Lepisosteus oculatus: one gene and its partners. The protein of the gene in region 1 interacts with the protein of each later gene in a pairwise test. Links are inferred from orthologs where the notes say so. Each region holds a gene or a part of one and is shown in the gene's direction. Other genes may lie near its edges. The genes, in order: traf3ip1, kansl1b, kif5ab and smc3.

Region 1 (7,892 bases):
CTGGGATTCCAAACCCTAATTATTCACACTATCCAAGATTTGTATTTCACAATGTTAGAAGAGCTGTACTTACCCCTGGAAAGGGTCTGAGGGACCTTTTTTGCTTTTCTTTGAGCAGATACATCCAGACTTGCTACAACAAGCAGGATACAAAGAACAGAGGAGCGACTCATAGTTCTGAAAAAGACAGATCTACTATTAATACATGTACTATTTCTTTTTCAACATTTTAAAATTTCACAATTAGCAGCATTTAATGGTCTCTGTTTATGGCACAGTCGAAACAATTTCGTGATGTACATGTACAGTAGATGCATTCTAGTTTTTTTCTAGATGTCTTCTGAAATAATTCTGTTTGGATTTTGAATCAAGATTTCAATTATTAACACACCCATTTTACTTTGAAATGATACTTTAGATTTTAGTGCTATATATACTTGTACTTAAAACTACTGTATAAAAATGAGTTTGATTTCAAATACAAAACTTTCCACTTTAAATAATATAGATTATAATCCTGCCTTTCATACAGTATTTTAACCTTTGTTGTGTACCATTACATTTTAAAGATGCTCCCGAGTTTGTCTTATAACACTTGAACCAGATATCAATGAATCATCAAATTGCCTAAGCCCTTGAAACCCTTTTGAAGCATATATTTCAGAATTTTAAAGACATCAGAAATATCAGTCCCATGTAATACTGCTTGCACTTCCACAATCTTGTCTTTTAGCATTCCTGTTTCAGGACTAACCTGTTCTAGGAGGAGATTCAACACAATTGTTTTAAGAGAGAATCTCTTCCTACTGTATTTCTAGCACAAAGTGTGAGCGTTTTACAAATGTAATACTTTAGTTTTCGTTTTGTTATAATTGATCTCATATAATAGAATGACACAACAGTATTTGAGAAAAGTAAAAAATGTCCTTAAGTTGCATGTTTCCCCTTTACATCAGATCTGTCCACCCTCTAATGTTTTCCATCTATTTGTTTCTGTTTTGGTTTCCAATAGGGTTGGTTTATATTTTTCTATACTGACGTTTTGACAGCTACTGTATAGCAAATATAGAATTACTTTCCTGGGGGAATGTCACAGCAAAATTCTGAATTAGTGATGGTTTCTTTATCTCATGTGGACTAGCTTGATTTAGAACACTTGTCTCCAGTTTGTGGGGATTACAAAGAGCTGTTATTTATTAAGTTTAACTCTTCTTCAATTTAATAATTCCCTTCTTTACTCAATTATTATTATTAATCACTTATTTATTTATTTTTTTGCTATATCTAATGCTGACAATTAGTCAAATATATTTGTAAAACCAATTCTATGATAATCCTGGTTGACTAGAGATGAGTAATACTGCTTTTAAGTATTCTACAAGAATATTTACCAAGCAGATAAATCTGTTTCAAAGATTGAACTTTTTCAATCACCTAGATACAGTACGAAAGAGCCAAGTTTCGTTCTTACCTGTTGCTGTCTTGAAATGTGAGTGAATGTTCGTTGAATTCTTACCTCACAAGCCTTCTTTTTATAGTCATCTAACTCATCTAACAGGTGTAGCAAAGCTTGAACGTCAGGCATAACAAACCAGGATATCCTTATCTTTGAAACACACTATTCAAACACGCCTCAGGGTAGGGAAGTACTTACAGTACATAAATGCTTATACTGCACCTTTAAACCCAATTTTAATCCCATTGATTTTAATCATAGGTGGAGAAAGGCTTCTTCATAATATATTTTTACTGTTCTGTATTTTTTTAACAGAAATGATTCAATCTTTTAATCTAAATTAAATTTTTTAAGTACCACTCATTTTAAACCTACCTGTGGTTGTAGGAAACCACAGGGAATGAATCTATGTTTTGAACCTAGTTTTGAACGCTGAAATTAAATTACATCTTTGGCATTCAGGTATTCAGGAAAATTAATGAGAAAGATCTAACTATCAATGTATTTAGTGACTTACTTTTTTATTAAAAACAATAATTTATTCAATGTTTTTTTCTCATTATTCATCTACATTTAAGAAGCAAAATATGATGACACAAACAAGATACTAGAAATTTTCATGAACCACAATAACAATACTTCTGAATTTTATGCTTGAAGACCTGTATTAAAGTACATCTTGGTACAGCACCAAAGTACAAGATGAGACTCACTCTGTAGTATATGTTTTACTTTTTTTATGGAATTATTGTCCTTTTGTAGCTAAGATTTTTTAAAAATCAATACCTGGTTTTAAGGTATGTTATTGATTAACTTTTTATTAAATCATTTCACTTTTATTCAATTTTGGCATGAAAGAGAGAGAAAAAGCAATCAACGTGCTTCTGTTTATTAACTGATTCCACTATTTCTATTTCTCACTTTTTTTTATTCCTGACGTCCTTGTGTTAACAAGCTAGTGATCTTTTGGCATTCGTTTTTTTGTAATTTATTATTTTAAAAACAAAAATATCATTATATACAGTACTTCATAACCCAGCATTTTTTCCATATTCCCATCCTGTTATGTGATTGAAAGCACGCCTAGACAAAACACAGTGCTACTTAGTGGTACACAGTTTCAGAAACCATAAATCTTTTTCAGAAAAAGCATTAAACAAAAAAGAAAGAAAATGTACAGCAAATAGAACAAAAAGTACACATTTCACGAAGAAAACGGTGTGTTTCATAATCCCCTGAATGCAACAAGACCTTAATTGCTTAGTATACCCTAACCACTCAGAGATGTGCACATCAGCTATAGCAAGCTCCCCAACTGTAAGCACGCTTTTCATCTGTTCCCTTGGGTGTGTCCAACCAAGTCATCTTGACGCACACCTGATAAAGACCTATTCAACTATATTCACCTACTGTATGTTCTTTTATTGAAACAATTTACTAAGTAGTATTATAAACTATATGCTATGAATGAACATTTTTATCACTGTGTCTTTCACAGGGTTTAACTATTTTCTAATCAATTTAAACTTAATAATAACAACATGTGCTTAAATTGGCATAGACCTTTTCCTTCCAAGAAATCCCGAGTGCTTTTCACAGAGAAGGGGCCCACTTCATCCATCACTGACCTGCACCACCCACCTGGGTGACACTTTGCTGCCCCTATGCGCAAACAGCCCCTGTACATAAAAGTGTTAATTTTTATGCAGCCATCTCACTTCACAGTTATTATGAATTAGGCACTTTATTTAATGAAAAATGATGTTTTCCGAGATCCACAATACTTTATAAAGCGTTCATTCTAGATTTTACTTCTGATATTACAGTAGGTGTTAAGTATTCTTTATTCATATGAAAATGAATTTAAAAATTATATGGGATCAGTAAAAGCAATAATCTAGTTATGAAGATTTCTAACTTCCTGGATCCCCGTACAGAAGAACAAACAAGCTTCCACACTTAATCATCTTAAAAGTGAAAGATAAACTAAATGGTTCACCAGACATTCCTGTTTCAGGGTATATCCTTGTTACTACCTTAAGAAACTCTTATGTTTAAAGTTAGGAGTGGCTGCAGGATCTCTGCATTAAAGCACATTAATGGTGATGTGCTGCTTACTTTCAAAGTAGTTTACATAAATTGCTTGAGGGGTTATTGAAGATTTTGTGTAGAGAAATTGGAGTAATGTTTCCATTGATGGAATCTAGAGAACATGAAGAAGTTTAATCTGTAAAGATTGCTCTTGTAAAAAGCACAGTTTTGTTAGAGTTAAATGGGGAGAGATAAATATCCAATGTGTAATTATGAACTGTTAAGTTATGTTTTTTTAAATGTTGGTTAACAAAGCAAATGAGAAAAAAAACCAAGGTGATTCTAATTCTATATAATTGTGGTTATAGTTGCAGTATATTTTTCTATAAAAGCTTTTTTTAGCTACTAATACTAAGGTTTTCACAAAAGAAAGAATACAGAACAAAATATTAGAACTTGAAATACATATTCTATACTGGACAATTAATGCGTCAATCATTTTTATACATTATATATGGGACTTTTTAGATTATAGATTTTAACTTGATATTGTTTAAGCTTTCTTCTATATAAATTTCCTTTACAAACATGCAAACTCATTAATTAGATGGGGGTAATTGATTGATTGATTGATTAGTTTTTAAAATGTTTTGAAAGAAAAATGCAAACAAGTTTCAAGTTTTAAAAATGGTTTCCTTATTTTCCATCTCATTCTTCACAGACACCTTTAGGTTACAGTTTATCTATACTTCCTAATTTTAGATAAAGGTACAAAAAACTATGGCTTTGTGTTAGTGCTAGAGCAATTATTTTACTTTAGAATTATTTACTTCAAACTTGGTTTTATTTCCTTTTCTGTTATTAATCTCCTACAGTACATTTTATATAAGGATTTTTGCTACATGAATAACAAAAACTCTTATCCCATATGGTAAAAATTCAAATGATGTCTATAACTCAGATTAAGGGGTGTTGATTTTTTTTCCTCATCAGGAATTCTTGATAACTTATTTGGCACAAGAACATATAAAGATCAAGTTCAAACTCATACAGGGATTTTGTCAGTGCTAACAGCTTTAGTTGTTCATTAACTTTCCATTACTGTAAATTCAGTGAAACGTTCTAGTAATAATTGAATTAAAACAGTGTTAAAACATTGATCAATAGCAATAACTTAAAAATAAGAATGAAATAAACCATGAACATTTAATTAATTTTTCAGCTATAAATGCCCTGCAGATATTTTGGTTTTTAGAAAAGGACCTCAAACGATCCAATTCTAAGAGCCTTTGGAATTCTTTGCATTTCAGTTGTTACTTGTTGCTAAGGATGCAAGCCTCGCTTGACAACCATACGTCACTTGCGCAGGCGCAGCTAGGTTTAGCGATGCATTGTGGGATCGGAAGATACCGACGTACTGAAAGCCCAGTGATTGCAGAATTTATGTGGTGAAGTGTTTCTTTCGGTTCGTCTTCACCTAAAGGACTTTTGTTTTGGCGTTTGTCTTGCTTTGCTGCTGCTATGAACGCGTCAGTGACCAAGAAGACCCAAGATACCTTGGGAAAAGTGATTAAGAAGCCGCCTCTTACTGAAAAACTGCTTAGTAAACCGCCGTTCCGCTACCTGCATGATATATTCACCGAGGTGAGAAACAGAACTGCAATGACTGACAACGGGAAAAATTGGATTTGTTGAAATATCCGTGGCTTGTTTGCAAGGAGGAGTTTCTCTGGTCTGTGTGTGTTTGTTTCGGAGTAGTGCATTTCAGTGGGACTAAGTTTGGGGTGAGGCTGTTCAGGAATAAAGAGTAGTAAAGGCTCAGCTGCAGAAAATTTAAAAAATGCAGTTAAGTTCTCTGATGTAACCTAAATAACTGTATTTTTTTAAAAAACGGACAATAGTCGGTTTCAGTGTAAATGCTGTAAAGGGTATGCGGTGAACACCTGAACTGTCTGAATGATGTAGAATCGAACTGGCGTCTTCTGGTTGCTAGGCACTGGTCTCTGCTCAAGTACACTAAACAATGCGAGGCCTTGATGAGTTATTTAAATACAGGACCGTAAAATACAAATATACCTCATCATTTTCTGCCCGGTGTTTGATTCCGTCACGCTACCCTTTATTTAAAAAAAAAGTTTTCTGTTCCATAGCAGTTGGTTTTAATCCCGTAATGTGTCCCCACAGAGGACACATTACATTAATCGCTGTCCTGCTGTGTCATGAAAATGGTAGCTAAATAATTTGTGCTGTTTTATTGTGCCAGTGTCGCTAATTAATATTACTGAGGTGTTAGCAAAACGATTATTTTACTTTGTGTCGCTCAAATCCAGTATATAATTATTACTGATAATTCAAACAATTTGGTCTAGCAAAGCATTATTTTATTAGGAGCAACATCTGTACAGAGATTAATGCTTTTACCCTTTACATCTTTCAAGAAATGGCTAGATAAATCCTTGAATGAATTAATTCTTTAATTAGCAAATGGGTTAGATGAACCAGAAGGACTTATATCGTTTGTAACTTTTCTTATGTCTAGCTGTTTCTTAAAAGCGCTCAATATTTTAACCTTAACCTGAAAAGGTTGTTCCACAAGCCAACAACATTTGTGTTAAGAAGTGTTTCTTGTTTTCCATTCTCAATGAATTCCCTGTGTCCTTATTTTAATACTGAGAAAGAATTTCCTGGCTTAACCCTTGACATTTTATATACAGCATTTTATAATTGCATCTTCTCTCAATCTCTGCTCCCTACATTATTGTATAATAAAGCCCTGATTGTAGGAATTATTCTTAGAAAGACTTTAAAAACTAAATGCAATTGTAAAGTGAGGTCCTTGTAGTGCATTTAAAAAAAATAAGTAGATATTTTCTTAAATTCTGCACTTTTTAATATAAAACCAAGGATTCAATTTGCTTTTTTATTGTTTTATCAACTTTGTTTTATTAAGTCATTGCTTAGAAGTGTCTACATTAAAAACCCCTTCATGTGTAGCTCCCGACAGTTCACCTGTATGATATACAGTATGTAGTATACGATCCTATTACTGTAGCAGTGTGAATAACTGCACTTATTTTAAATTTGATTTGCTGTGTATCTGTTTACCCCATGATTTTGTCTCTTCGTATTTCTTTTGCTACTGTGTCTATATTTGCTGCTCTCTCTGTTTTTGTATCATTGTTCATCAAGTTTATGGTCGTGATAATATTAAGTCTGCTTTGGTAGTACGTCATGGTAAAACTGTGCTACTGTTGTATTACCATGGCTAATTCTAAAATGTTCACAGGTTAATACGCGACTTGTGGTGTCTTCATATTTATGAATAATTAGCATCTTGCCAATCATTAAGGTCTTCAAATCATCATCATTCATCGTTAAATGATCACAAATGTCTTCCTGAAACTCTTTGCTATTTTTTGCTCTGTTTCACAATGTGGAACAGTGACCCTATCATTGTTTGAATTTGAGAAACAAAATCAGTGATGTTAATTGCGGAATATTTTAATTATTGAAAAATTACATGAGCAGGGGATTCAGAGAGCCTGTTCAAAGAGTTGCTTTGTTGCGTGATAGAAGTAAAGCCAGATGACTCGTCTTAAAAATAGCAGATTGAAGCAAGGCCCAGCTAAGATTATCCTGGGAGGCTGAGCTTGTATGAAGAACTTAAAAAATTAGGAATGACATTGTATGCAGCATACGTTAAGTGGGAAGAAGGAGATTATTGATCTGCCAAGAGTATAACATATAACGTATATTAGACACACTTGTGAACAATGCAGTTTACTTTTCAAGAACTGTAAAATGATGTATGCATGGAACACAGTCCCAGATTTTTGTTCTTGTTCTCAATCATCTGGATTTTAGAAAAATTTTTACCCTTTCCCTAAACAACATGTTTTGTATAGGCAGTCCCAGGCCTGTAGTCTGCATAGAACAGAGAACCTGTGGCATGTGCTGGTTATTTTGTGCACATTTGGTGACAAACGTGCTCAGTGTTTGTGACATTTTCAAACTTTTTTGGTAGGGTTAGGGGAGTCAAATGAAAGTAAACTCATGTAATATAAATTTGAAATTGTACATTTCAAATTACATAAGACAGTCCGCTAATAATATAACCTGTATGATCTTCAAAGCTTGATCTCTTTTATTATTTATTCATTCATTTGGTTTATAATCAATGATCCAAAATCCTAACATTCTGGAACCGGCTTCATTTTATAATTGGACAACTGTATCCATCCTGTTTTTCACAGGTAATAAGGACCACTGGGTTTATGAAAGGCCTTTATTCGGAGGTAGAAACGAAATCAGACAATGTCAAGGTAAGGTGGTCTTATTAACCTTAGCTTTCACATTAGTTCAGGAACATTATTAACAGAAATAAATTGCAGTTATCAGTACTTAT
Region 2 (7,878 bases), on another chromosome or scaffold:
TTACATGTCGGAGTCCTAATTCCATTGACTTTGCCAAAGTTGGCTGGAGACCCACTGGGATTGTTCATTGGTCATCTTGTTTTGAGGTGTGGCGAGTCATGCTAAGCAGACGCCCAGTCTGTGCAGACCGCAGACCTCCAGATGCTAATGCTCAAGAGGTTCTGTGAAGAGATTTGGAAGAAGTGCTGCATGTTAATATGGGAAGAATATTGCTTTCATGTTTTTCTGTTTGCTTGTGTAAGATGAAGTGGGCATTTATAATGCGATAAAGTAATGTAAGAACTAGCATTCAGCACACTTAAGACACTTAAACTTTATTATGAATTAAATATGCCAAACCTTCAAGTAATCCTTGTTATACATATTTTTTTATAGAAGACAGGTTTGAAATATTACTATTACTAATGACTAGTGTAAAAAAGGATACTATTACAGCTTTCATTATTCCTTTATGTTAATACAATTGTCCATCTCTTGCTTCAAGCCGTTCCAAAATTGTGCTGCTGTTTTTTTTTTTGTTTTAAATCAGACATGAATTCTTCTTTTAAAAAAAACAGTATTTAAACTGCATTTTTCAGGTCAATGTCAGGCATAAGTGACTGGAATATGGTGGACGTGTATGGCGATGGAGTCTGCTTCTAAGAAAATACTTGTTTTAAATTGAATTCCGCAGAATGAGTTTTGCATACAACGTTTTGTTTTTGCATTTTACAAGTGTAACTGGTGTCTTTTTTCTTATTTTGGAATTGTACAGTCTTAGGGAAACAAAAGTCTTTCTGTTAATATATATTTGCAATTCATTTTAAGGATGTGAAAAAATACAGAATAAACTACTTTGAACAAAGCCTTACAATTGGTCATTGGGTGCACTTTACACTTTAGTTTCATTTTACATTTTAACTATTTTGGCTGAGGTACTATATATTTGACTATGGGATACTGTATACAAGGAAGGATTGGGTTCCTAGATTTTAGAACACTGATAGACCATGTTTTAAATTCATTTACATGTTAGAAGAACACAATATGAAATGACTATATTCTGCTTAAGTTTTAGAAGTTAAAACTGTACATTTTATTTAAAATTTTCAAAAGCCCAATTTATTTCAACATATTTAATGCTTTCTTTGAACCTAAAGCTGAAGGGTTTTTTGAACTCCTGGAGAATTTCTTCAAGATGGCAACAAAAGAGGATCATTATCGCAAAGAAGAGACAAAAATTGCAAACAATGTTGAACTTTGAAAACAATTTTAAAGTGCATTATAAAGTGGGTATTAAATTGGGGAGACTTATAAAAATCTGCGATAAGTGTTGTTCACAACATGGTATATGAGCCCTTTATATAGTTTGGCATTTTTTCAATCCATTGAAGAATTGTGACTTTTAACACTTTGTACAGTCCATCCATGTGCTATGGTTGCTGTTTGACTTTGTCAGCACACAGGTAACTGCATAAGACTGCGATGAGATCAGGAAGGCCTTGGCAGCCTTATGAGTCTTCCATCAGCCTCTTCATATTCCATTTGGCTTTTGCTCCATCGGCTGGATGTGTGGGGTCATTGTAGTAAGATGTACCCCGGCAACCATATCACTTAATGAATGCTCAAAGTTTGTATCTGTTGGTTGTTAAGGTATCTTTGACTTTTTTTTTTGCCAATCCTTGTCACCCGTTGCTGAGATACAGCTTCACACTTGATCCACCACCATGCTTTACTACAACTTATTGTACACTGATGCACGCGGCGGCTCTTCAGTCCACCATTGAACAAACTGTTGTTGATTCCTGACAAACAGCTCAAACTCAGACTCGTCTGCACTCTCTTCAGGTTTGATCAACCCACTTTTTCATTTCTGTCGCCTGATGTTTCGTTTTTATTCTGCTGGTCTCTTTGGAGCAGAGGTTTCCTAATGGGAGTATCCAAGCTTGTGTACGCTCTGTGGGTGACAGTTCTCTTGCTGTGCCCCAAAGCTCTGGAATTCTACCCAAAGGATAACAAAGAGTTGGTGTCTGGGAGCATATTCTGATTCAGACTTAAAGAAATCTTCAGAATGGCTTTTTGTTTAATTGGTGTCTTACAGCAAGTGCTTTGAGTAGCTGCTTTTAAAAGCACTACATAAAATTGTAATAATAAATTACTACTCACTTTACCACTGATCCCCTGTGGTTATTTTGGAAACATTAGTCTGTACGTGTAGCAAGATCTCTACTGGATTGTTATCCATCAGATGGAGGATTTACTGAACTTTATCACTATTGGATAGTTTGGATTTTTACTCCTTCACCCACAGTCCTGTCAACAGGTCAGTTTCATCAGCCGTCGTCTGCTGGACCTTGTGTATAAAACTGGGGGGCTATGATCTGTTATTTTTCTACAACTGTGTGATTTCCTTACCAGGAGCCATTGGGTTCTAGTTTCAAACTCGGAAAAATCCTATTTCTGCCCGTATTTAAATGGGCTTTGTGCTGGATTAGCACGATTGAGTAATTGGTTGTCGGGCAACCAATGGTATTGTGCCATATCTGCACGACCCTAGATCAAACAACGTTTCATTTTAACAAGCTGTGTTCTGTTGTGCACATTGCGGGATATACCCTCCTTGTCCTGTTTTTGTAATTGCCTCCAGTATAATTTGTAAAAGTATTTCTCTGCGACTTCCCTCTGTGCCACACAAGCACAAGCAGGTAAGCTGCTCCCTTCACGTCTTTGGCTTGTAAAATCGAAACGTCTCAGTCAGACCCGTTCCCCTTTCTGTTGTAATTTGACACTTTAGTGAAACGGATTTATAATCTCATAAAAGCAAGCATGAAATATTTCATGATGCAGTTAATGATGCACCTCTTCATTGATACCACAGCGTCAAAACTTTTATATCTTTCAGCTCATCTTCTGCTGCACACTAATATTCATGTGTGTTCTCACTGAAGCCAGGCTGGCCGTTATGCTGGCTGTTGTGTGTGCCAGGCTCCCTGGAAAGGGAGCTGTTTCAAATGAACTAATTCTCTCATTTAGCTGAAAGCTCACAAGACAACAGCGTTTTATTACGTCTTCTGCTTTACGAGCGCATACAGCAGGTAGATGGAAACTGGCGATGCTGACTGGAAAATCTTATGAAATTCGTTGATGTCATCACGTCCCTGCTGATGCAGTAGTCTACATTTTTGCTGTACGTACTGTAAAACAACTGCAGGGAGGAATGCTTCAATGTATCTTTTCTCCAAAGCTCAGTGGTTCGATTTGAAGCAATGGAATTGTAAATTCAATGAAAAAGCCCTGGAAGTCTCCTGCCTTCTGTAATTGCCGGTCAACCTTGGGGTGTCATTCCCCTGTCAGCTTTCACTCTGATAGGTAGCTATGTGGGAAACATTTGGCATTTTATGCATTGATTTGTGCCCAGACCACAAGCTGCATTTTAACATTAACTGCATCCCTTATACATTTCACCACCCCGTATTTTGTTAGGGGAATGGAGCACAGCTTTGCTGTTGTTTTTTTTTAAGAAAAGAGACCAATTTTAAATAGAGGGCTATTTAACTTTGACATTTACAGGAATTTGCACATATAAATGGGGCAGCAAATCGTGAATTTTTTTGCAACACAAATTAGAGTAGCTAGTTAAGATCTCTCCATTGTTATATCAATACTCTAACAATTAGGCTTTGTGAAAAATGGATGCATACTTCGATTCCTTACAGAAGCATGTGCTGAAGAGGCGGAAGGAGTTCAGTTGTTCCCAGTTCTAGATGTTGAGATCTAGAATCTATTAGGTTTTTGTGCATCTTTATATGGTCAAAAGCTTAGGCTAAGAGGAAGGAGAAGTTGGCCCAGCTACAGTTTCATTTGGAACATTTAACACATCTGGAAAAAGTAACAGGTTTATTCCCTGCTGAAAAGAGAAGAAAGAAAACAACGTTTCGGCTGTGGAGCCTTCTTCGGGACAGCCACAGCCAAAATCGATGTTTTCTTTCTTCTCTTTTAAGCAGGGAATAAACCCAATACTTGTTCCTTTGCAGCCGATGCATGCTGACGCAGCTCCCCACCTGAACTAATTTAACACATCTTCCAGGTGAAGAGCTCTTTACAACTTAATGAAACAAAATAACCCTGAAGATCTCATTTGGTAATCCCTGCTCTAGCAAATTGAAAAGCTAGCGTGGTGTATGTAAGCCCCAACACAAAAGTGGTGGATTTCCTTCAGCTATTAATAAAGGCTTCTTCTCTGTTCCTGTGGTTTAGTGTTCATACACAATTTGGATAGCTCCTGTCTCTATTTTCAGTTACCAAAAAGCTTAGAGTTGATGCTGCAGTACAGCATAATAGTAATATGTTTTATGTAAGTGGAATATAATTACCCTGAGGTCTCCACAAAACAGTCTTAATCCCTTTCAAAACACACGGGAGTTGTTTTGAATTTTAAAAAGATGGCTTGATTTCTGTCAATGTATTTGTCTCATCACATATAAAGCATAGTACATGTTGCCTTTTCTGCTCAACACTCCTCTAACCCTGAGGGTATCAGTTAATGAAGCCAAATTCACAGACGAGTACCCCAAAAATGGTGTTAATGCTCTCGCACTATGACGGTACATTTAGAGAGTGTAACAGGAACGACAATGAAAACAGTTGAATCGTGCTTAAAATCCACCAGGCACTGTGATGCTGTGGGCAGGAAGACAGTGCAGTGTACGAATGACAGTGTTGTTAAAATTCTGGGTTACCCCGTTAAACAACACCCATGCTTTCTCATTTGCGAAAACAAAAGTCCTGCAAACTTCAATTCAAGACACTTTCCATCATACGCCTCTCCGAAACGAATGACAGCCCTGCCTACCAATAGACTGTCCGCTCTCGCTGCGTTGTCCAATCAGAAAGCACAGAGGGTGGGCGATTTCGCTTCAAGGCTGGTTGAATTGTGCAGGTAAGTGAACATGGATTGCAGATTCAAGATATATTGTTTTAAAAAAATAAGGGTTTTTAAGAAACACTGTGAAACAAAACGTTTGCTGTTACTAAAGATAACGACAAGGGTAAGGCAGGGTCAGGTTTTGTGTACGTAGGATAGCTGAATTAAAATTGCACAGCATTGCATAAAGAGAGTTCTTTGCTCTGGTAACAGTCAACAGGCCAAAATAGTGGTTTAGTGTACAGCAGTACAAATAATGTCCAGACAATGAATCATTACAAAGAAATGAAACTTTTGCTGGAGTAAATGAACGAGAAAACATGTACAATATCGACATTCTGCGCAAGATCTGTCAAGTTTAATGACAAAATGCACTGTTGTGAAAGCAGTAAAGCCAATATTTGGAGAAAAAGCTGGACGCACAGGCCAGATGTACTAACGGTGTAACATTATTTTGTGCAAGAATGAACGATGTTAACTCACAAGCGTAAGGAGTTCTTAGTGTCAGGCATAAATTCCAGGGTCTTGAACAAGTAAGTACGGAATTATTTTCAAACTTGGACGATCATTATTTCCTGTTATGAGGAGGAGGAGGAGGATAATGATGAAGATGATCTGAAATTGTAAAGAAAAGCATAAGGCCAACAAAAAGAAGCACTTTGCCTGGTACAGTTTCCTAATTTCAAAATAGAGCTCGTAAGAAATTCGTTAACCAGTAGTTATGAATATTATTAAAAGAATACAACTAAGACTGTAACCACGGGTATATAATACGTTCTTTTATTCAGTTGTTTTGACTTTTTAAAATACAAATGCGACGCTTATTTCTACGTTTTGATGTTTCTTTTATAAATTATTGTTATATTTGTTTTTTTTTCTAAATACAGTGTAATATTTATAGATATTATGTCTTGCGTGTTATCGTCACGAAGTCGTTTAAACATTCGTTTTAGGCACCTTTAATTATTTTCGATATTTACAATGTTTTCATAATTGGTACGGTTTCATTCATTGCACAGTATTAAATATATAGGTGTTACAGTTTGTGAACGTACACATTTTCGTCCAATTATATTACTGCAAGTGTAGTACTGTTTGTGTGATGCTAATAGTAGTCTAAATTAAAATTAACGTATTAATAGACTAACGAGAAAGTAGTTAATTTCATTTGAAAATGTATTTGAGGCCAGAGGCCAATAAGTGTGATCATCGTAGATTATCTGAAAGAATTGTGGAACTTTGATTTGAGAAAATTAAAGTAATAGAGGCCTTAGCAACTTCACAACAGCCACACCAGTATAACCAGGAATATGATCCCACCTCTTTCATATTTGCACAACAGGAGTGATACATCGAAACAAAAAATATTGTTTGTACCTCTGAAAAAACAAAACAAGTGAGAGAATCTTCAGATAAAAACAGCAAATAAAATAAGAGCTTCAAACTGCAGTAAAAATGTCATTTCTCAGTAATGCTGTTTTGAGAGGACAGATGAAGAGAACTGAACAGGTATAATAAGCGTTATCCATGGAGAGGTTTTTTTATGGGAAGTTTCTGCACAGGGTGCTCTATGATAAAGGCTTTCATCATTGCTCATGGTTTGCAGAAACCAATTTTGTGGATATTTCTGTGACTTCTTTTCATACAGATTGAACCTGAATGGTGTTAAATCCTGGCCAAAATATGTACAGTATTGATTTTGCTGGAGTGGACATCTCTCGGCTGTTCTGACACATGTATCTGAACAGGGCTGGGCTTGGCGATCTGTTCATCCCCCTGTGTGCACAAGAAAGAATGGATATGATACTGAATTGAAACCATAGTACAAGATTCAGGTGGTCCTGATTTATCTAACGTTTGCAGCTTGCAGTTTGCCTCATCACTGATGGTAACAAGTTGTGACAGCATTCCTGTGACTTCAAAACTGAAACTCTCTTTCCTTTCCGCGATCTTAGGAAATTTGGTTCCATCAGGATCCGTGGATTTATTGCCTGGCGAGATGGGTTGGCCTGGGAGAACCTTCTTGGAAAAGGCCTTGTATTTGCTAAGGGGCCATGAAAATATGAACCCAAAGCTTCACAGGTAAGTTCTTGAGTGCTGGTTCTTTTCACACTGTAACTACATGCAACTTTTAAATTCTAGTTTAAATGCTTAGATGATTGTACTTATGGAAACCATCGCGTGTGTACATATTAGATCTAATTTCCAGGTCACAGAGTTTGTCCTTTTTTACAGAATGATTTGGAGTTAAGTTTTCATCTCGATAGCGCTTTACCTTGATCTGATCTGCTTGGCCCAAGCAAGTGCCCGTGCCCCTCGAGTACAAAGCGCACCTGGGTCTGCTGTCCACGTCTGTGTTCCTGCTCGGAGAACGAATCGGCTCCATTCCTTCTGACGCGTGTCTGAGCGCCAGCAGAATGCCAGAGGCCAGAAAACATCTGAATCCCCTGTCGGCAGAACTAAGTTTCCCTCCCCCCCTAGAAATTTAAATCACCCCCCCATTACAGTCAAGTGCATGTCTAGATTGCTGTTTCTCCAGGTTCTATAGATCTCTTTGAGACCCCAGCACCTGAAATTGTTTAATTGCTCATATTAAGCCAATAATGGGCTAATTTAGGTCAGTGAGCTGATCTCATGTTCACACCAGCCCTCCTCGTCCAGGACTGCATTTCCCTGTTGGGGACCCCTTCTATATATATTTGCAGGTAGTATTGCTTACATTTGTTGTGCTACTCTGCACCAACTACTACTATTTGTACGTCTTTTTTTCGGGGACTCTGTTAATGCCGCATCCGAAGTCCGAGCAGCCAAGCATTCATTCTCGTTGATCTAAAAATACTCAGAACCGATTGGAGCTGTAAAGAAAAAAATGAAAGAGATCTACATATATCCAAATGATGGTGTTCTATTAGTAAAAAAATAATAATTTGCAACAGGAGTGTTACAATAATTAAATGTTGCAACAGGAGTGGGAC
Region 3 (7,918 bases), on another chromosome or scaffold:
AGGAATGGTCCTCCGGGGTCAGGGTGCAGAACCACTAGACTCACCGATTCAAACTGGGCCTGGTCATCCTCCGGCAGGTCACTGGTCTCGTACACATCGGGCTCGTTGGAGGCCTGGAAAGAACAAGGAAACGCTGTCTGTTTTAATAACCACCCAGCTCCTGCTCCACGGCGATCCTCACACACTGGCGCTAGAGAGTGAAAGCTCTGCAGCTTTCACAAGGAAATTACACCCTCCGTGGGTCACACAGGACAGAACACTGTTATAATACAGACCATTTAAGTCACTCACTCAGTGAAATCATTAAGAGCTCAGGCAGAATAAAATAAGACAAGATCCTGCGGCTCTTCAGGTCAGGAACCAAGGATTTCTGCTGCACAGTAAGCAGTCATCTGTTTTGTCAGGGAGAGGTCATTACGTCATTCCAACAACCTTCTCAAAAGCCCTCTCCTGCACTAACAAACCTGGTGCAGATCAGTCCTGGTTTCAGGTTTCCCCACTGCCTGACAGTAATGGTCATTATAGTCTCTGTTCTCCCCATCTCCAAGAACAGCTGACTTGATATCTCTCTGGTTTATCTGTGAGATTTGCTAGTGAATGGATTTTAATTTTAATTTGTTCTGCATGTTTACATAAACCACTCTAGTGGGGAACAAGCTGTACTACATGTTCAAGATATGATGGGCCTCCTGTATGCGATAACGTAGGTCATCTGCGCTGTGGATCTCATTCCAACAAAGCAGCCAGTCACTTAAATTGAACCTATTTTTGTCTTAATTATTCTCAATGAAAATAGTGTCCTCTGAAGATGCCTGTACTGTAAAGCCTGAAGGACATGGGCTCTCCAGAACCAGGGTAGGAAAGCCAAAGAGCTGCAATGTCTGCCCATTGCCGAAAAACTGTTTTTTTTTTCCCCAAGTCAGTTTTGTAGATTACAAAAAATGAATTCAACGATAACAGTTAAGGTGATGCAGTTCACCCTTTGTCTTGCAACAGGGGGTCCCTATGTTAGTCATGGGGGACCCCCACACCTGCTGGTTTTTGTTCCCTCGCAACGCTCGAGTGAATAACTGAGCCCTACAGCTGACGATATCAGGTTTCATATTAACTCTTGGTTTTCGGCCCCTAATCGCATAGGAGGTTGCCTTTTAAGATCATCAAGAAAGGTAAAAGTTAAAATCTTCCACCTATGAGAAGAAAAAGAAGAAACAAACCTGCAAGGGTTCTAATTAAGCACCTTGATGGCTCAGTTCACGATTCAGTAAAATACAGGGCTCAACTGCAATGAAGCCCAAGACCTGGGGGTCTTCAGTATGGGTATTGAGAACCCTATACTTACAACTGTGGGACAGCCACCTTAACCAACCCTCTCAGATTGCAGTCTAGTATCACTGCTCTCCTGTAATGGACGATCACTGAACAAACATGTACAAGTTTGGCCATCCTGGTCCTGGAATACCAGTATGTCTTCGGGTTTGCACTACAGCTCTCTAAGCTAACCAACTGGTTACAGTCTTCAGTGGATCAACTTATTACTCCCAACTCGTTGGGTGCTTTAGAGAGATTCTGAGCATCTACAGACACTCACTGGGGGCCAGCAGGACCAGGACTGGGGTGACCTGCACTTTCCCACCCCTGTCCCGCCACGACGTCGCTGCTGGGTCTTTTAAAGACGCACTTTCCTGCTGGCCGGACCTCAGCACAGCCAACGCCCAGAAAACAAATCCGCTTTCATCACCAGCAGGCCTGAATGGCTGCAGACAATCACACACAAGACCATTACTACCACCTCGCCGGTGGGCAGATAGGTTTCCCAGGTGTGACGTGACGGTTCTGATGGAACAACGCTTTTCGGCCGTTAAAAACACCATCGGCCCCATCGCCATCTCCTGAAACTGCCCGGTATTCACCGGCGCCACGGGTACCCGGTAAACCAACTCTGAAAAAATCACCACCTTACCACTCCCACAGGCGACAACAAAACGGTCGTCTCGATTTACTGAGTCACGACAAACCCAGACAGCGAGTTGGACGCTTCTCGACATTATTCGTCAAGTGTCACTTGTGGGACCCGTGAATCCAGTCTTTCAAACTGGGGTGCGGTTTATAACACAAAATAACAAAGCAACCCGCCTTTTTGGCGAACCCCACCGCCCGTCCGGCACATCTATGGCTTAAAGATCGACCCGCTTTTAGTAGATTAACACTTCATTGTTCTATAAAGGTATACAGCATCCCGTCTTTTTTTTTACTTACAATGCCTGGCAAATTAGCATACTTGGGATCCGCCATTGTTGCTGAGGCTGCAGCGCCAGTAGAGAGAAGACGGTTAAGTGCGGCTTTTAAGGCGACGGCTATTTGCAAGCGAAAGTACAGGGTTTAGGTTTCCCTTCGGTAAAATAATAACAAGGCCTTCGCAACACAATACGCCTTTCTGCTATTTTCCCTGGGTTTGACAGCTCCTAAGGGTAGTCAAAGAGCGAGAAGCCGGTGCTCTCGCGTGATCCTATCTCCGAGACGAGACAAGGATGAGGTAATGCGATACCTCAAGGGATTGTGGGAAGTGTTGTTTGTTTTGTGTACCCTTGCCGAAACACTGTACTGTATCGAGTTTTGTGGCCTTCCGTCAAATCTACGGAAAACACGCGTATTAATCTGTATGGATTTTATTTTTAGTCTCCACAGTTCAAAAACTGCCTCTTGGTGGAGCTGATGTTTCAATGTACTTTACAGTATTGTCATGTTTCGTTCGGAATACTTCAAAATCCATTGCTACGATTTTCAAAACCAAAAAAACGTGGTACCAATGTCACATCTGCTTCTGCTGATATGACAGTAATAATATTTACAAACGTTAAATTCATGTCAGTGTTTGTAATTTGTCTGAGGCGTCATCAACTAGCAGACACACACACTCCAATTCAGCGGCCTTAAAACTAAAACCTAATAATCCCGGAAACCACTTAAGAATGGAACATTAAGTTTTAGTGCAGGGACAACTTCAGTATATCTAGAGCAGATTAAGCAGAACAAATGGTCTAATTGTGTCCCCCATTCCAGCCAAATAATGCTGAATCGTCAGTCCTACAACGTTTATGGCCGTAATGGGACTAAGAATGAATCTGTAAACTTGAATTTCAGCTTTGTTCAGTCTGAAGGGAACAGTACAGTAATCAGTTTCTTGAGAATACTGAAATCCATTTTAATGTCCCGTTTGAATGAAGTCCCAAAACCCTTGGAAATCTAATTTAGAGACACCTCACTTTGCAACACTATATGTTTTAATATTTCTTTAGCTTGTGATTTTGAATATGTACTGTAGTTTATTATCGGGGCTATCACTTCTCTCTATTTCCACTTTTGTTCTCTTTTAGTTACCTTTAACCTCTTATAGCCAGCGGCTCTATCACTCAGCAATTCACAACCCACTGAAGCTCAGCAGGGGTGAGCCTGGTCAGTACCTGGATGGGAGACCTCCTGGGGAAGCTGCTGGAAGAGGTGTTAGTGGGGTCAGTAGGGGGCGCTCACCCTGCGGTCCATGTGGACAATATACTGTGAAAGGGCATCATCCTTCGTATAACACGTAAAACCAGGGTCTTGACTATTTGTGGTCTTTAAAAATCCTCCCCACTGATATCTGATGTGTGGTAAATGTTCTGGAGCACTATGGCTGCCGTCGCATCATCCAGGTAGGGCTGCACGGTGGTGGTGGAGGGGAGTCCCCATTACCTGTAAAGCGCTTCGAGTGGAGTGTCCAGAAAAAGCTTATACAGAAGAAGCAAGCAGACATTACGCCGGTTGTCATCATGGCAGCATGTTTTGTATCAATATTCGAACAGGAACATGCAGAAACCATGAGTCTGAACAGACATCAGACGCTGCTGGGCTCCTCCCTCCCTCCTATTATTCATTGAGATCTGCCTAGACCTACGTGCCTTTAATGAACTGATTGCATTCTTTTCGCTCGGGAGTGCGGTTACCCTGGTAGATAGCAAGCAACGTGGAAGTGATCAGAGCACAGGCTGCAGGAACTGTGAAAGGGCACGCAGGTGTAAGGAAATGAAATAGAAAGTAAATGTCTCTCCAGCTGCACGGACCGCTCGTGGACTCTGGCTCCTCTCTCCTCCTCCCCCCTCCCACTCCTGGTTCTGCCTGACGCCTCCCGGATTCCAGATCGATGCTCGCGCTCCCTGTCCACGTGGGTCGGGTTCCAGGAAGGGAAAGCGCCCAGTCACCACCTCGGGCTGTGACGTCACAGCCGCAGGCTCCTGCAATCGCCCGGACTCGGGGGCCGACAGTGGGGGCTCAGGCGTTTGTGTTTTCCAGTGCTGCGTCACCCGCAGCGAGATGTTTGTTTACGGACACAGAAAAGGTTACAAACGCAGGGAGGCTACCCGGACCATGTGGCTCATAGCTTTTAGATCTCAGATGATTGGGAAGTTGTAGCAAATACCCCGACTTTTCCCCCTAAAATAATGCCTAAAACAAATACTCTCACTCTTATATTAACATGTATTTATTTATTTTAGCCGTTAAAGGAGCAATATTAGGTTGCATCTACCAGTGACAAACAGTCGGGTTGTCCAACTCAGCCCAATAATTAATATAATTAATAACAAAGCACCGGGAATTAATATAATATAATTAATAATAAAGCACCGGGAATTCTGAAAATGCATTCTGTATCATGCACTATACTATCGAATAAAGTGCGGCAATAAGGCCTAACTAGACTGTAGCATGTTGACGGATTTCCAGAAATGTCCGTCCTTTTTCTTTCCCCTCCGTGTCCAAACAACGCTGTGTCCGAACAGCGAAGCGGCGAGGCGCCCCCGTCCCCCCGCGCGGCGCTGAGTGGTGCTGATGCGAGCGCACGGCCGCGCCGGAGAGCCAGGACACGCCCCGCGCCTCATAAAGCGCGGAGTGGCGGTGCTGCTGCAGCGCTATCTTGCCGTAGTGCTCTGCTTGATGTTCTCGGATGGGACTGTAGCGCCAACCTGCTCCGTCTTAGCCCTTTCATAAGCGACATTTTCAAGTCAGACCTGCCAGAATCCGTCCGGGTTTTATTCTTATTAATTACATATTTAAACAAAGGGATTTACGTCGATACCAATATTTATGTCTAGCTGACCAGTACGAAAATCCTGTTTTTAAACGCGGTAGTGCATACACCACGGTGTAGCCTGTTTGCAAAATCTGTAGACAATGCAATAAAGCGCTCGGCTTTCTTTTTTTTATTTTTCGCTTTTCCGATTATATTTTTTCCTGCAGTTCTAAAGGGAATTCGCACCCTCGGACAAAGCCTTTGTCTCCCAGTTTTGTTTTGATTTTAGATCTACCTACAAAAGGCCAGAACACCAGGAAAATTCTTCAGTGTCTCCAAAAGCGCATCCGAATTCGTCACAATGGCCGATGCTTCCACAGAATGCAATATCAAAGTGCTGTGCCGCTTTCGCCCGCTGAATCAAGCCGAGGTCGTGCGAGGAGATAAATTCATCCCGAAATTCAGCGGGGATGACACGGTTATCATTGGGGTAGGTACGCCCTTCCCGGCCTTTTCCTTCTTTTTGCTGCCCGTCATGTTTGTTGTTCAAAGATGACGCCGCCGGGGAGGGTCCGGTGTGCCGTGTTTTGTACCTGCCTGGGAACGAATCTTAAAACCTACAAATAAACAAGTACAGTGCTCCAAAGCCCTGCGATGTTATGGGTTTAAGGTTGAATCATTTGTGCCGGTATCGCTCTGCTGTCTTTACGGGGTTTGTTTTTTTACCTTACGTTCAAGGATTTCGCTTTCTCGATAAGGTTTAGAATGACATTTTATTTGGACTTAGTTTCGCTGCTTCCTCGTTTGTTTGATCTCAGTTGGTGGTATTTTACGCGGATGGGCGGTCAACACGCCAGACCTCGCTGTCCACACCCCAGAACACGGAGGAATATGTTTTTGGCTCCACAAACATCAGTAATTACAGTGCAGCAGCACCCCGGACGTTCGCTGCGGGTCTAAGCTTTTATGAGTGCGCTAGTGTTTACTGAATATTATCCACTGCAGTACGGTAATGAGGGAGTGCGTGACCTGTGCATTTGGGATAACGAAAATATTTGGGGAATTTAACAAGTTTCATGTTTGCATTAGTGTTCTCATTACGATTCTATACATTTCATTTCTAGAATAATTAACCGCCTCTCTCTCTTAGAATAAAAGCAGCGGAAACAACAGCAGGACGACTTGCCTTGTCAGGAAAGGTCTTTCTGCACTGGGCTGCGAGGCAGTTTAATGTAATCACAGTCGGCGCGCGCCTCGGCGAAACCCGTACCTTCGTACTATCGCATCGATCAAAGTCAAATAAATGTGCAGGGCCAGTCGAGCGCTCAGTTCTGCAATGAAAGGGCACATCTGGGGGAGAATAAAAGCCAGTTTGCTATGCACCTCTAGGTGCAGCAGCGCCTGCTGGGGCACGTGATCATCCACCGGCCCGAGAGGACTCGGGCGAGCAGAATATTCCATTACAATCCCAGTGTATGTCGCTGAGCCTCCCTCGGAAACGTGATTAGTAGCCGCCGGGTCGATAAGATGAAGTGGCATGTTCTTGGGAAAGCTTTTACTAATGGTCGCTTTTCCTGCCATACGAAATCTGTAAACCAGAATTCCATGAATCCCATTCCGTTTTCCCATTGCTTTTAAATCCGCTTAAAATAAATGGTCATTATAGAATGAGAAATAACTATATCCTGTATATAATGGAGATTCGGTAATGACACAGAAATACGGCTGGACAGGTGCGGCGAGGCGCCGCCTGTCGTGAGATGCAGGATGAATAGATGAGTTTTGTTTCATTTACTCGCCGACCTGCGACGATCACCAGCAGCAGGGCTGTCGGCGGCAAGGAAAGCATTAAAGCTTCGTAAAGTTCGGTCAAATGCGTCTGCGTCTAATTTTCTCTTTTTTCACGCACCCCAGCCCTTGAAGACCGCACTCGCTTTCATTTTTCTTTCACGGAATGGGATCACTGCTATCGGCTGTGCGCAGGCACTCGTGTGGCCCCATCAGTGCCTTAGCAAGCAGGGCAGCAGTTCCTCACCTGTGCCGTAGTCCTGCGCCCCTCTGGTTCCCGAGATCTCGTCTCACTCCCCTGATCATGAACCTCATAAGATGGCCAGTCCTGTAAACCTAAACTACCAGCATCACTGCAGAGTGAAAGAGAATTCTATAATATAATAATAATAAACTTTATTTTATATAGCGCCTTTAAAGGTGGGTTCTCAAAGCACTTATACATTTATTTTAACTTCACAGTCAAATTAAGAGTACATGAAAAATCACACGTTTTTTAGAAATGTATATTTAATGTTGCAGTAAAATGAATACATTCAAAATGACACTTTTTCAAGTTCCACCTTAAGATTTTACCTTAAAATACGTAGGTTTGATCAAACAAAGCCATTGTACTTACTGTAAGTGCTTGTGTTGAAATTGTGTTTTCAATATGTTACCTTCTAAACCAACCTGGCCTGTCTGGCACCCTCAGACCCCCCCCCACCAAGGGGGAATGTGCACCCCAGGATTACAGCCTCCACTGTTGGGGATCCATGTGGTCAGCCTGACAAGAGCAGCATCTCCGCTTCCTGAGAGTCCTGAGCTCCGATTGGCCAGTCAAGCTTCCTCCTGCAGCTCATTGGTTATCTGTGAACAGACCGGGTCTGTCTCTGACCTAATGTCTGCCTTCTGTGTTGTTTGTGTTGTGCTGGTTAATTGGTTCTACAGAGCTAATTACCATTCGTGAGTTGTACTTCCTAAGCACTGAGAGGCTTCCTTCATTGGTTGTTTTGACTTGGAGTACAACATCAAAAACTTTTCCTTGAAGACGTTTGCGGTGTGCAGCCTGAGCTCACTTTGTGGCTGTTGTGTTGTGCTCACAAG
Region 4 (7,864 bases), on another chromosome or scaffold:
CCTGACTCCTGTGCCGATCCAGTCAAAGGTTCACCAGTTAAAGTTGAGCCCGATCAGTGCATTGCCTTAACCTGAAGGCTGACGTCTCCTAAGATTACTTGAAAAAACAACAACAAGTCCACGAGCTCAGATCCCCCCTCACAGACCCTGAAAAGGGGTGATGGGAGCGTGGAGGAACGAGAACTTTCTAAGAACGGCAACTGCAGGGCCAACAATGACGTCGTTGCTGTCGATATCCATCCTCATCTCCACAATGAAAAACAAAAGACAGTGATACACTGATGCTGCCATCTTTGATCTGTATTGTGATATCAAGTAGGAAAATCGCCTTACTATGATGATGTGAACCTTATTGTGCTCAGAAAGCCTGTGCAAAGACAAGCAAGTTTTATTAATTTATTAAAATGTTAAATTACGTAATAACTGGCAGGAAGTAATTATACTCCATGCCTTGTTGGTCTTAAAAGTGCTTTTTTAAAAAAACAACAACAAATATTTATTTTGCTAAAGACAATGACGTGGAAATGCTAATAAAGTAATTTGCCAAATGGGACATGGTGGTGTTGTTGTTTTCTAACTGGGACTACACAGAAATGAAAAATTAATCTGAATGAATTAACAGCCTTGGCAATTGAAGTAAACAATCACTTAATTTTGAAGAAGGCTCACTTATCCTGAAGAGGGCTTCACGGCCGAAACGTTGTGTTTTCTCTCTTCTCTTTTCAGCATGAAATAAACCTATTGTTCCTTTGCAGACAATGCATGCTGACGCAGCTACCCACCTGAATCACTTATTTTATTCATTCTACAACTCACACTCAGGTTATCAGAAAGCTTTTTCCTCAGAATCCTCCCTAGGATGGTTTGTTCCTTTTATAGATCTAATTTAAATGTATTCTGCTTGACACCCTAAAAAGGCAAGCCAATTGTTGCTGCATTGAATGCATGTCGCAGTATTAAAAAACAATCCTGTAGTTTCTGGTTGTTCTGAGGATTATTAGCTTACTAGACCACTGGCTTATTGCAAGGCAAGTAAAGTGAGTTAAACATCTGCACACCTGATCTCTTTTACAGGTGCATAGGAAACAATCACTGACAGAAATAAAATGGAAAAATTCATTCGTGCTGTGCTTTGCATATCTCACTTTATTCCAAAAATAGCTTGCATTTCTGTTTCCAGCCTTTAGCTCTGCGTGCTTTTTTTCTTTCGTATTTCCATAAAACACACAGACAGGCACAAAGCAAAACAGATAATTTAAGCAAGAATAATACAGTATGTTCAGTTATTTCACTGGTGCAACTCCGTGTGACTCAGACATGATCCCTTCGCAGCAAAATGACACAAAATGAGGTAAATGATCCCTTCTTGTGAAAGAAACCAACACATACAGTCTATAAATGGTCAAGCACTGATAGCAACCTAGTAGCTTACCAAAATACATGCACAACAAAGACATCGAGAAAAAGAAACGTTAACCTTAACATACAACTTAGCAAATAAAAAACAAGAGGAAATTAAGAAGGTCAAGAACAAAGACGATTCTGAAACCGAAGCAAATTTGGGTATTTTATTTTTCGTTTTTATTAATTTAATATTGATATCAACTTAACAAGGATGTAAAGAAGTGAAGAATGGAATGTGTTGCTCATATGCATGAATTGGACACTAGCACATTCTGATTTTTCAGAAGGCAAGGTAAAGTCAAATCTTGTCTTATAAACTTCACCTCTTGGTCACTCTGATAAAGAAAACGTGCATCGAAACGATTTGTTTTCCTGCAGGACACTGATAGAGTAGGTCTGGTGTTGTTTGTGTATTAAAACAGCTGCGTAATGGAGTGGAAAATTAATAGTTTTTTGTGACTTAAAATGTATTTTGTAAACTGCAGAAACCTAATAACACTCCATGGAATATTGCCCACAGCATTCCTTAGACAGAAACATATTATTCCAGCAGCACCTTTGTAAAAATAAGTATCATAATCACATATCCAGTTTTGTTTCTGGACAGAAAACTAATCATTTTAAGGGTGTTCTCTAACAGAATTGACCTGTGGTAAAAAGCTTTTTCTTACATCTGTAGGTTCGGAAATTCTTTGGTTTGCAGATCTTTTGACTTGGTTTATTCCACGACACAAGCCAAATTCCTGATTGTGATGATTTACACTAGAAAGGAGAACACTGACGTTTGAGATGACATAAAAGTAGGTATTGTGGATTAATGATGTGCTGCGGGGTGTGAAAGAAAAGAATACAATGGGCATGTTCAGCCCTCCTTCAAAACTATGCAATCAAACTGTAGATTGTTTGTGTCCTGATCTGTTTTGATATTTTTCAACATTTTCCCATTGACGTTTACCTAGAAAGTCACCCCAGCCCACAGACAGTTACGTACGATTTGCTAAATTGCAGTCTGGTCTTTCTCTAAATGTCATGCCACTTTCATTTGAATCTGTGAAACACTGTGCTGCTTTTGCAATCTATCAGCACAACAAATGGTCACATATATCACAAAGTCTAAATGTAGAACTGTTTGACAGACAAAAGCATCCTATCTCTTCCTCAGAGCATGTCCAAGTCACTGTGAGATAGACCTAGTCACAAGCTTATTTATGCTGTTTCTGTGAAAGGCTTTTATTTTCCTTATTTTTATTTTGCTTTAATGATAACTTATTCCTTTATCATCAAACAAAAAAAGCAAACAGTGGCATTTTTTAAATTTCATTTTTGTATAGTCATGATTTATGCTTTTTTGGTTTCGTGCTCTAATGCCAGCTGTGCCAGTGGAATGCTTCTTTACATTAAAACCACCTTGAATCTTTCATTTAATGTCAGCTTAAAATGAGCATCTTGTCACCCCCCTGAATGAGCATATGGCCCTTCCCAAACCCATATAAAAAAAACTGCAGTGTATGTGCCTGCTCTGTTTTGTGCTTTGTATTCTGCTGCATGCATACCTGGGTTATACCCATGTAGTGGCTGTTCTTTTGAATATGGCAGTGCTACTATAGGGTACAGAATGTACTCACTACCACAAGCAGTGGATTTTGAAATACAAGTTCTATGGCTTTAAAAGGGTGCTAATTTACGACATCAGTGCCTTGTACTTTCATTTAAAAACAAATGTGAGATCATCTTGGTAAACTTTATATGCATTATCCCAAACTTTTGGTTTTTATTTTATTTTTGCTCAGTGGTAGGGGACCACTGCTGGCAAAGATGTTGGATTTACAGAGAAGAGAACATCTGCAGCAATCTCCAATGTAGCGCAGCAATAATGTTAGAGACTAGGGGTTGTCGGCGTGGGAAACTGTCAGTCCAGAAGATATATAACACCCTTTCCAAACTCCCTCGGAGTCCACTTGATTGTTCATAACACAACCCACCTTTTCGACTTTAAGCATGTGCTTAAATGCGTTAACAATGAAAAATAACTCTAGAATCCCATGACAATGAAACATTCTCGATGAAACGATGTTAGATTTGCGCCATATTAAATACCTCTCTCTTTAACTATGTTAATTTGTATGTTTTCTAGCCATTAATTTAAAATGTGACGTCTGACATTTGTCATCTTACAATACCTGTCATTGTACTTGAAATTTCAGTAAAACGATTGGACTTATTAAATCTTAAATCCAAATCTTGAAATATTTGGGTTTTACGGCGTTTATTACACATCTAAGACAAAACTATTACAATCTGAGAACAGTAAACAGCGCCACCTGCACCCTAGTCCTTATACTTTTGCAAACGTTTCCTTTCACGTTTAAAGCCAAAATTGCATTGACAGGAAAACGGTTTTGACAGAGATCCTTAGAATGTAGTTGCAAGATACAGTAGTTTTTTTTTCAATTACTCTACACATCAGGCCCTCAGTATTTTTGTAAAATAACATTTTGAAGCAGTAGTTGCAATGGAAACGACAAGACTTTTGGATGGAGTGGGTAACAGTCGGCTAATGTAAACAACACTTATTAATATATTTTCATTGAAAAAGCGTCTTTCGCTCTGCATTTATTTACAAAATGGAACAAAGTTCACACCACTTTTTCACGGCAACCTTCAATTGCTTCTACATGGCCAATGGCTTTATAGCAGATACGGGGAATGAAACGTCCTCAGAGCACATCTGGTAGCCTGTTCAAGGTTTGCTGTCGGTGAGGAATCATCCGTGTTTATGTAACGTCTACCTGCCTGATTTGTATTTTTTGTACTCATTTTTCTTTGGTCTAGAATTAATATCAGCATTACCCATCTTTATTAGCCCGCATTTATGTTTTTGTGTAAAACGGACGTACATAGGTACACATCACATTGATTACAAATCAAAACTCTGTAATCCGTTCGGGTTTTTTTTTACATTGGCGGGAACGGGAAACCTAAAGTAGTATCTCGCTGCCAACAAAGATGGCTAAAAATAATCCATAAAATCACTTCACGACTGTCGACATGTAAACAATGTAGATAAAGAGGATTTGTAGTATATCTATCACCGCATATTAAATGTCTAATAGTAAAATGTAGTTTAAAATAACATTGAATTCAGTTATACAGTATCGACTACAGTAACGCAGTTGAACACACCTCAGACTCTGCAGCTTTGGCGCCGAACCTTTCACCTTATGTGGTGCATACCAACTGTCACACATAGGGTGGGTGTTAAACACTAATGACGAGAGCTTTTCTTTAATTAAATTTCATAAACTTAAAATGATATTCTGGAATCATACAGAATTATTTTTGTTTACAAATATTATTGACGTCCAGTGTCCGCCATGCTTGGTTTCATAATTATTTAATTTAACCGACCTCCCCTACACTGGACAATTCAAGCATACCCAATTTGCTCCCTCCTCCTGTCGCCATCTTGGTGCCTGTTGTTTCTGTGTTTTCATGGGGGGGGAGAGTTTGCTTTTTCCGAATAGTTTGCTTTAAATAACTTCATTCTAACCATTTATTGATTAAAATTGATAGCTTTTCGCTCCTTCCATTCGGTGGAAGGAGAGGAATTTTCCAGTTCCCTATCGTCTCGTTGATTTGTCTTTTGTGAGGGAAAATTACCTGGGAATCCGAACATGTACATTAAACAGGTACAGTAAAAACTGCTCTTCTTCTTTGGTGGAGAAAAACGTATTCGAGAGGGAAATTAGAAACAACGCCTTTCAGATTAGACAGAGTTCCTTTGCCTTTGTAGCTGTTGGTGACTTGAATAAAATTGTGAAATGGTTAAAAATAGTTGCAACTTGGGCAATGAATGAGTTGACGTCCGTGTTTACAAGCCTTCATCGGGTAGACGTTGGAGTTTCTGTACGTCGGGTTTGAGCCTTGAAATACGACGGGAATACTGTAATCTTTTTTATAAAGGGGTAGTATGTTGCTTGCTGAACCAATATTGTTTTGCAACCAGGAGTTCGTCAGCTGAAAGAAGTAGGCCTCAGGCTATCTAAATATCTGCAGGAAAAGGGGATTTTTTCAGAGATGAGTGCTTAAACTAGCTTTCTTAGATGGCGAGCTGCTGCTGTTGTTGTTGATTCTCTTGCTGAACATTTGGCTTGTGATGTTTCTGTGCTGAATGACGTAGAACGATGGGAGCAGGGGAGAGGGCTGTCACATTGTGTGATCCGGAAAGACAAACGAACCGAGGAGAAAGTTCAAAGGTCCATCCCGCATCCCAACACCACCGGTGTTTCAATCTAAATGATTTAAAAACAAGTTTCAAATCTTAAGAGTGATTTGAGGTCCGAAAGTCTTCAAGTGCTTGAAGTTGCAGCCTGTGTTGTATCTACCCAAGTGTGCAGTTTCTTTTGCCTAGAGGCAGGTTAAGCAAAAGTGGACAGTAAACCCCAGCTCGAAATGAATACTGTTAGCTTTACCTGGGATCATACTTGCAGTACGTAGGAGGTTTTGCTCCGAACGTGACTCTGATATCGAAACTCATCGGTAGTAGCTTGGTAGTTGATAGAAGCGATGACTGCATTGTGTTTGTGTGGGTGCTTGTGAGGGGGTTCCTGGAGTCCATGAACATCCCCCAAACTGCAGCTCAAGGGTGATTTATGAAATTCAGCAACTATTGTGCTGGAGTTTGAACCATACTGGTTTTAAACATAAATGCCGCTTGCCATTTTGGGTGCCAAAGAAGCAAATAAGAAAGTAAAAGCAAAAGCAAAGTGTGAGATAAAGGAAAAAAGAATTCAGAGCTACAATTTCACAGGTTACAACAACATCCTTTTCAGAGAGAAGAGGTAATCGGGGAATTGAACATGGGGTTCAACAGATAGTGTCTCGGACAACTAAGATAAGATAAGATCACTTTATTGGCCATATACAGTTTCCTGCATTAGGAATTCATCTTTTTGCATACCCCAGCTTGCTCTCCATGAGACACAGACACACAGACAGAGAGAGAAGCTTGGTGTCAGAGCGCAGGGTCAGCCATTGTACAGCACCCCTGGAGCAGTTAGGGTTAAGGGCCTTGCTCAGGGGCCCAATGGAGTAGGATTCCTCTGCCGGCCGTGGGATTTGAACCGGCAACCTTCCAGCCACAGGCGCAGATCCTAAGCCACAGAGCAACCGCTATTTCTATTTCTATTTGCACTATTTCTGATACACATGCTTTTACCAGTGCATGTTAATACACACACACATTTATTACATAAATCAAAGAAGTAGAAATCTCTAAAATCCTATGGTTTTTACAAAAATCTCTATAGTGACAACGTGAGACACCTGATAGTAGACGGCAAGCATTTCCACCAAAGGGAAGCTAGATGGCTGATATAATGACTTAAGTCAACTTTTCTATGTTGAATAAACCAATATGTCTGGATTTTCTGAGAGAAAATACAATTAACACATTTCATTTAGCACAGTTTTAAGTATATAATACTTTGCTTTATTAAGTTATTGAAATGTTATTATTCATTATTGAATTATTATTCATTTTTGTCATTTGAAATATTTTAAGTTGAAAAATTGAAAGACTGTTTGCCTTTAATGGTTGGTTTCAGAAATTGAAATTGAAAGCGTTCTAGAATTTAGCATAATCTCTATGCAATATGATGGGTGTCACAATTTCTCCTGAATGTTTATCTTTTCAGGGTGGTGCTTAAACACTGACAATGCCTGTAAGATAAGTGTCTTTCCCCCCTGTGTAAATTAACCAGTTGTTTAGAAAACTATAGAAACCCAAAAATTGTAAAATAATTTTTAATTATAGGTGTGTTTGAAACATTTTTTCTTAAATTGAATACACATAAAGTGTATTAATAAATTGTGGAAACTAAGACCTGAGTGTTGAAATTAAATGCCTGGTTCAGTAAATTAAATTAATCAACAGCTCTTTTGGTACAAAAAACATAAGGTGCTTGGTACACTAGGACAAAGGCTGGAGAATTTCATCTAGATGTCTCCACTAAAAGTGCTGTTTTCATCTTCCTTCAGTAATTACAGCTTAAAGCACATGAAGTCATTCTATGTGGCTCATAACATGCAGTGTCTTGAAATTAACTATATTTGAATTGCAGATTTGATTTAGTTCTTTGTTTATACGGGTAGTAGAAACTGATGTAGAGGTAAGGATTTGAGATTGTAGCAGTGTATGAGAACCAACCTGGGTGAACTTCCAAAATTATCTCTACATTTACTTTACCATAATCCCTGCTCCAAGAGAGCACCTTTTCAGCACCTCCCATTAAATCATACATTTAAAACATTGCTGTGATCAGTTAAACAGGTGACAGTCACAGTAGTGATCTGACAATTAGCAATCTTTTAGAAGAAAAATGTAATGACCCTTGAGTTTCCAAGGGTTCTTAATTGGTATAAATCTTAATAAAATCAATTCTTAATTGAGAAATCACTT

The links.
Region 2: the proteins of traf3ip1 (region 1) and kansl1b interact in a two-hybrid assay, tested with the Homo sapiens proteins (2 studies listed by IntAct). The link is inferred for Lepisosteus oculatus from reciprocal best matches to the Homo sapiens genes TRAF3IP1 and KANSL1.
Region 3: the proteins of traf3ip1 (region 1) and kif5ab interact in a two-hybrid assay, tested with the Homo sapiens proteins (2 studies listed by IntAct). The link is inferred for Lepisosteus oculatus from reciprocal best matches to the Homo sapiens genes TRAF3IP1 and KIF5A.
Region 4: the proteins of traf3ip1 (region 1) and smc3 interact in a two-hybrid assay, tested with the Homo sapiens proteins (2 studies listed by BioGRID and IntAct). The link is inferred for Lepisosteus oculatus from reciprocal best matches to the Homo sapiens genes TRAF3IP1 and SMC3.

The regions. Positions count from the first base shown.
Region 1 is NC_090707.1:21,566,736-21,574,627, forward strand, and holds the start of traf3ip1 (TRAF3-interacting protein 1), read left to right. Parts: upstream 1-4,875; 5' UTR 4,876-5,008; coding exon 5,009-5,131; intron 5,132-7,740; coding exon 7,741-7,809; intron 7,810-7,892. Other genes in the region: agr1 (anterior gradient 1), read right to left, coding at 74-173.
Region 2 is NC_090723.1:7,954,441-7,962,318, reverse strand, and holds the start of kansl1b (KAT8 regulatory NSL complex subunit 1), read left to right. Parts: upstream 1-4,873; 5' UTR 4,874-4,918; intron 4,919-6,858; 5' UTR 6,859-6,985; intron 6,986-7,878. UniProt on the Homo sapiens protein: Non-catalytic component of the NSL histone acetyltransferase complex, a multiprotein complex that mediates histone H4 acetylation at 'Lys-5'- and 'Lys-8' (H4K5ac and H4K8ac) at transcription start sites and promotes transcription initiation.
Region 3 is NC_090696.1:18,011,370-18,019,287, reverse strand, and holds the start of kif5ab (kinesin heavy chain), read left to right. Parts: upstream 1-4,914; 5' UTR 4,915-5,405; coding exon 5,406-5,534; intron 5,535-7,918. Other genes in the region: dctn2 (dynactin subunit 2), read right to left, coding at 45-113, 2,257-2,292. UniProt on the Homo sapiens protein: Microtubule-dependent motor required for slow axonal transport of neurofilament proteins (NFH, NFM and NFL). Can induce formation of neurite-like membrane protrusions in non-neuronal cells in a ZFYVE27-dependent manner.
Region 4 is NC_090699.1:39,758,913-39,766,776, reverse strand, and holds the start of smc3 (structural maintenance of chromosomes protein 3), read left to right. Parts: upstream 1-4,851; 5' UTR 4,852-5,078; coding exon 5,079-5,093; intron 5,094-7,864. Other genes in the region: dusp5 (dual specificity protein phosphatase 5), read left to right, coding at 1-70. UniProt on the Homo sapiens protein: Central component of cohesin, a complex required for chromosome cohesion during the cell cycle. The cohesin complex may form a large proteinaceous ring within which sister chromatids can be trapped.